2 linked regions of the Oryctolagus cuniculus genome follow. The protein of the gene in region 2 interacts with the protein of the main gene of each other region in a biochemical or structural test. Links are inferred from orthologs where the notes say so. Each region holds a gene or a part of one and is shown on either strand. Other genes may lie near its edges. The genes, in order: GNA12 and ARAF.

Region 1 (3,813 bases), on a different chromosome or scaffold from region 2:
TCCCACGTGAGTACAGAAGCCCAAGGACCTGGGCCATCCTCCACTGCTTTCCTAGGACATAGCAGTGGGCTGGATCAGAAGTGGAGCCGCCAGGACCTGAACCAGTACCCACATGGGATGCCGGCACTGCAGACGGCGGCTTTACCAGCTGCGCCATAGCGCCAGGCCCTCCTGTTGTTTCTTATATCTAGCCTTAGAGGTTACAATCTCCTTTCTGTGGCAATCACAGTGCCTACTGCTTTTAACGTCTTCACCTGAATTGTAAAAGTTAACTAGAGAGGGGCTGGCACTGTGGCATAGCAGGTAAAGCCGTCATCTGCAGTGTTGGCTCCCCATATGGGCATCGGTCTGGGTCCCAGTTGCTCTGCTTCCACTCCAGCTCCCTGATGATGTGCCTGGGAAGGCAGAAGATGAAGATCCAAGTGCTTGGGGCTCTGCACCCACATGGGAGACTCAGAAGAAGCTCCCGGCTCCTGGCTTTGGAGCGGTCCAGCATCAGCCGTTGTAGTCACTTGTAGGGTGAACTAGTGGATGGAAGACCTTGTTCTCTGTCTCTCCCTCTCTATCTCTGTGGCTCTTTCAAGTAAGTAGGTCTTTTGTTATTGTTGCTGTTTTTACAGTTAACTAAATGGGGCCAGTGTTGTGGCATAATGGGTAAAGCGCCATATGGGCGCTGCTTTCAGTCCACGCTGCTCCATCTCCAATCCAGCTCTCTGCTGTGGCCTGGGAAAGTGGTGGAAGGTGGCCCAAGTCCTTGGGCCCCCGCACCCACGTGGGAGACCCCGAAGAAGCTCCTGGCTCCTGACTTCGGATCAGTGCAGCTCCAACCATTACGGTCAATTGGGGAGTGAGCCAGCGGATGGAAGACCTCTCTTTCTCTCTCTCTGCCTCTACTTCTCTCTCTGTGTAACTCTGACTTTCAAATAAATAAACGAATCTTTTAAAAAAATAAAATTAACTAGAGAAAGAATGTGCAAATGAGAAAGGGTTGGAGGAAAACTCTTGGGCCAATGTTGAGGAGAGGCAGTATGGACGCACAGTCTCACAGTATCCCCCCAGACACAGAACAACGGCAGAGAAAAGCAGTGACTTCCAGCAGCGGGAGCTGGCAAACGCCGCCTGCACCAAGCCATCCAGCTCCCAGGCCTGCACACTCCCAAATCACCGCTGCCCATGACACGGGCTCCGGGCAGGGCACAGTCAGCGCTCTCGTCTTCTTGCCAGGAGCACAGAACACACAAACCCAGACAGGGACGTCCCACAGAACAACTGACCACGCTCTGCACGCCAGGGTCGCCCGGACAAGGAAGGACGCGGGATTGGTCACGGACTGGAGGCGACTGAGCAGACAGCTCAACACGACGGAGCACCCTGGGCTGGCTCTCAGCACCCACGATGCCAGAGGGAAGACAGGTTAAGTCTGGACAGGTCTACAGCTTCATTAATGATATTAAACCGACGTGTGCTTCCAGGCCTTGACCTGGGTGTGTAACACGGGAACATCAGGGAAACTGTGTGAAGAAAACAGACGCTGAGCTGGAAAGATTTCTAGCAGACTACACCCAGCACGTCACAGATGAATGAGGAAAGCGTGAAATAACTCAGGAGATGCACACACAGACAACACACCTGGGGGCATCTCAGTTAACAGAACGCGGTCCAGTTAAACTCTGGGGTCGGTAATGCTCAACACTGGCATGGATGCAGACCAACAGACTTCTCCCTGTTGCTGGCACGACCACCTTGGAAAGCTGCCTGGTGTTAGCACGTCTGCTTGGAGCTTTATACCCCACGGCCTGCAACTCCTGCCCCAGAGCACACAACTGGCGGAACTCCTCCCAGCCGCAGCCGCAGCCAGGCAGGAGAGACACCGTGCTTTCTAGCAGTACAATCGGACATTCAGAAGTACGCTGACGGCGGCAGGGACAAATCCCAGCAATGGACAGAGTGAGGACGAGGGACCACGGTTTCACAAATCATGTGAATAAATTCCAAGATGTCGCTTGAAAAAGGTAAAACAGAGAACACGAACAGCCAGACACCATTCACACACTAGGTTTGAAAATGGGTAAAATTCAGTAGCTCACTGTTCACCACACACACACACACAGACACAGACACACACACACAGAGACACATACAGACACACACACAGACACACAGAAATGCACACACACAGAGACGCACACACAGACACGGACGCACACACATACACACACACACAGAGCTAACAGCAAAACTACACATGCATCAGTAAACCACGGAAGAAGGAAGGGTCTCCTGACGGAAGCTCAGGACCGAGAGCTGAGGGTGGCGTCTGTCTGGAACCCAGGCGTGCGCCAGCGTCAGTGGCACGCGTGTCCTCGGGTGTGGTCCACGTTGGAGGGCAGTTAGAGGGAAAAGTAAAAAAAGAAACAAGCAAGACACGGGAACGCTCTGGTCATGGGGCCTGATCCTTCAGAGGCGGGCAGGCTGGCTCCCGAGGCACCCGCCCTCCCGGCAGCACTCGGTCCTCCCCTCTACGCACACGCCATGGCTGCCACGCTGCCACGCTGCTTCACGGCCCACCAGCTTCCTACTAGGAACAAGACCTAGAAAGGCGAGTCGCCCGAGTTGCGCCGACTGTGACCATTTTAAGAATCCTACTTCGGGAACAAAAGCATCTACCCAGCCCACGTGAATCCTCCTCCCCTTGAACCAGTTTCATTCGCCTCCGTCACGCGTTTTGCTGTCGGTCACTGGGATCTGCACTCACAGCTTTCCTGCCCTTTCTGCGGTTTTTAAAGGAAAACGCGACCAGAGCTCAGACAGGCGCCCGGAGGCCGCACTCACCAGCTGAAACTCGCTCCTGCGGCTGAAGGCCTCCCTGATGCCAGAGTCCCTCCAGAGCGCGCCCAGCGCGGGCACGTACAGCTGGAAGGTGGCGGGCTCCACAGGAAGTCCCGCCTTGTTCTCAAACGCCATCAGGAACATGCCATGCTTCTCGTTTTCAGAATACTGCCAAGGAATACCAAGCTTGTCTCGCGCGTCGACAAGAACCTTTGAGCCCTAGGAAATAAAAGAAAAAAGAAAGATTTAATTGTGCAGCAGACACTACATCATACTAGAGAAGCCCAGCGCGGCCTCTGTCTTGGCCTGTGTTCAGCTGCTACGGCGCAGTAGCCGAGACTCGGTGGCTGACACAGCCAAGAGGTCGCTTTGCTGCTGGTTCCGCTCCCGGCTGGAGCTGCTGTACCGCGACACGGCGCAAAGCAGAACCGGAGTGAGCACCGGTAAAGAGGCAGAGGGGCAGCCAAGGCCGTCCTGGCTCTGCTGTGTGAATCCCTCCTGCCAAGGCTGCCTGCCACGCTGCCACAGCGGCCCGCAGCGGCAGGTTCAGTTTCCACTTGGTAAGTCTACATGCGACAGCACGCAGCACCTGTCACAGAGCCGAAGATGCCCAGGCGGGGCAGTGTGCAGAGCGGCACGCGTCTGCCTTGCGGTGACATGGGTGCCGTCACTCCTAGGAAGGTGGCCTTCTCACGAAGGACGTGTGTAAGCAGCACACAGCTCTGCTCCTGCTAGCCCTCATCTGACACGGCACCCGGGGGACGCTGCTGGAGACACCCAGCACATGCCCTCGTCCGAAACGGCACCCGGGGGACGCCGCAGGAGACACCCAGCACATGCCCTCATCCGACAGGGCACCTGGGGGACACCGCGGGAGACGCCCAGCACGTGCCCTCATCCGACACGGCACCCGGGGGACACTGCTGGAGCCACCCAGCACGTGCCCTCATCCGACACGGCACCCGGGGGACACCACGGGAGCCA
Region 2 (3,040 bases):
CTGGCCACAGCAGGTACAACTCAGAGGCACTCAGATGAGGGAGAACGTGAGTAGTTCGGACATCCATAGCTGATGTAGGGATCCCCGTCCCTGCTAAGACCACATACCACAATCCAGGAGCCCATGTCCCCATGGGCCCCTGACCACTGTGGCCCAACTCACCATCCAAAGCACAGAGCCTGAAGGCTGCTCCAAGGGCTGGGCCCCGCTCCACCGCGTCTTCACGGTGGCCAGGCCAAAGTCACCGATCTTCACTGTGAGCCCCTCATGTAGGAAGATGTCCACCAGAGTCAAGGGCCACTACAGGGACTCCTAATAGCCACATCTCTCACCCATGAGTGCCCCAGACCAGAAACCCCTCAATGTCACACAAACCATGCACAACCTGGATGGGAGAGGGGAGCTCCAAGCGATGCCTTCCACATTGGGCCCCCCTCTGTGACTCAGCCAAGAAGGCCCTCAAATGGGATCTGAACCTGCCCTGCCCTGCTCAGAGAATTTCCACACCTCAGACCCTGACCAGTCTCCAAGAATCACACGTGAACCAGGAGCACTTGACTCCTCACCAACAGCCCTCCCCAAAGCCCCCTCGCAGGCTGCTAGCCATGTTGACATAGGCCCCTCCCTCTTCAACCCCAGAACACACCCGTGGGAACCAGCCCTCTAAGCCCTCACCCAGAAACAGGTAGATACTGTTAGACTTGAGGTCTCGGTGGATGATGTTCTTGGCATGGAGGTAGCTGTGGAGGTAGAGGCAGGTAGTAATTGGCTGGGTGCTCCTATACACCTATCTCTCCCCTCCCCCAAACCCTGAGACTCACTCCATGCCCTGGGCAGTCTGCCGGGCCACGTCGATGAGCTGGACCATGTCAAAGCGCGTGTCGGCCACATGTAGGTGGTGGTAGAGGCTGGAGCCCTCGCACCACTGTGTGATGATGGCAAAGCCCGGTCGGGTCATGAAGCCCATGAATAGCAAGATGTTGACATGCCGTGTCTTCCTGTGGGTGGGGAGGAAAAACAGCGACTGTCAGGTCCTTGCTGAACATCGGGAATGGCACTGTTTGTTGCCCTCTTCTGTCACTCCTTTTCACTTTGTCTTTTAGGGCACTCAGGGTCAGACTGCTGCCAGGTTCCATCAGTGTGTGAGACACGTCTGCTGGGGACTTACGCTCTGAGCTTCCTCATCAGTGTCTCCCCACAAAAGCAGGAGGGAGGGAGCAGCAGCCCCACCCCTCTGCCTACCAGCAGCATCTCCAACTGTTAACACCCTCTACACCTCTGCCATAGACCATTACCTGGGCCTGCTGCCAACCCTCTTCACTGATACACTGACATAACACTGAGATAAATGCAAGGTAAACATACTGGTGATACAGTGATTACAGCCTCTTAATTGCCGTGACAGGCTTCGAGGTAGAGTTTGGAGTCTGGGCCCTTGTTACATCCTCAGTTCAAAACTAGACTTCACCAGTTACTGTACAGCCTTGGGGAAGACATTTAACCTCTTTGGGCCTCATGTCCCTCAACTGTACAACTGTGATCACTAGAGTAGCTACCTTACAAGGATGTCCAGTGGAATAAGCGAATAAGCAATCTATAAGGTGCTTAGCGCAGCGCTGAACATACAGAGTAAGCACTCTGAAAATCTCACTCTCAGGAGTGGGCACTGTGCCACAGAGGGTTAAGCCGATGCTACGGATGCCAGTATTATATATTGGAGTGCCAGTTTGAGTGCCAGCTACTCTGCTCCAACCCAGCTTTCTGCTGATGCACACCCTGGGAGGCAGCAGAGAATGGCTTAAAGTACTTAGGTCCCTGCCACCTACATGGGAGACCTGGAGTGAATTCTGAGCTTCTGGCTTTGGCCTGCCCAATCCTGGCTGTTGCAAACATTTCGGGGAGTAAACCAGTACATGGTGTCTCTCCCCCACCCCATTCCTCCCCTTCCCGACTCTCTGCCTCTCAAGTAGATGAAAATAAATGAATAAACATTTGAAAACAAGAAAAAAAATTAAAATGTCATCTTCCTGTTCTTGCTGCTAGGTACATGGGTCTATGTTGCGGGAACTCGGTCTCTATGAATCATTTCTCCCTACTTTGAGAAAATCTTCATTCCTTACAGAAAGAAGTAATAGCCACAGACACACTGCTAGCAGAAATGCAAATAGCATGGATGCCATTTTGCTCACATCAGAGGATAACACAGCACACAAGGATTCTAAATAGTGGTTAAGACTATGGTTAACACTGAATGAGAGTAAAAATGAACAGCATTCAACTGCCAGCTCACAGAGAGGAACCCAGAACAAGAGTTTTCTACTGTGACATTCATTATGAGGATAAAGACTAAGATCACACAAGTGTGTGACACACACTGAAAGTAAAAGAATGGGAAAAGATACACCATGCTGAGAGAAAGCAAAAAAAAGAATGGAGTAGCCATCCTAATATCAGAAAAAAAGGATATTAATACAAAAACTGTTAAAAGAGACAAAGAAGGGCATGATAAAATGATTAAGGGATCAATTCAAAAGGCAGATATGACTATAATAAATGTATATGCACCCAATGCCAGGGCACCTGGCTATTTAAAACAAATGTTAATGGATTTAAAGGGAGAAACAGGCTCTCATACAATAATAATAGGGGACTTCAACATCCTACCTTCATCAATGGACAGATCAACTAGACAGAAAATCAACAAACAACAGAGCCATTCTATACAATGGACAAAACAGATCTAATTGATATCTACAGAACACTTCATCACACAGTTGCAGAATGCACATTCTTTTCATGAGTTCATGGAACATTCTCTGGGACAGACCATATGCTAGGCCATAAAGCAAGTCTCAACAAATTCAAAAAAACTGAAATCATACCACATATCTTTTCTGACCACAATGGAATGAAGCTGGAAATAAGCAACTTCAGAAACTCCAGAAAATATGCATAGACATGGAGACTGAACAACACCCTCCTGAGTGAACAGGGAGGTCACAGAAGAAATCAAAAGAGAAATAAAACAATTCCAGGAAAC

Evidence for each region.
Region 1: the proteins of ARAF (region 2) and GNA12 form a complex in vitro, tested with the Homo sapiens proteins (2 studies listed by BioGRID). The link is inferred for Oryctolagus cuniculus from reciprocal best matches to the Homo sapiens genes ARAF and GNA12.

The regions. Positions count from the first base shown.
Region 1 is NC_091450.1:37,494,429-37,498,241, forward strand, and holds part of GNA12 (guanine nucleotide-binding protein subunit alpha-12), read right to left. Parts: intron 3,049-3,813; coding exon 2,833-3,048; intron 1-2,832. UniProt on the Homo sapiens protein: Guanine nucleotide-binding proteins (G proteins) are involved as modulators or transducers in various transmembrane signaling systems. Activates effector molecule RhoA by binding and activating RhoGEFs (ARHGEF12/LARG).
Region 2 is NC_091453.1:33,065,943-33,068,982, reverse strand, and holds part of ARAF (serine/threonine-protein kinase A-Raf), read right to left. Parts: intron 999-3,040; coding exon 822-998; intron 741-821; coding exon 694-740; intron 282-693; coding exon 163-281; intron 1-162. UniProt on the Homo sapiens protein: Involved in the transduction of mitogenic signals from the cell membrane to the nucleus. May also regulate the TOR signaling cascade. Phosphorylates PFKFB2.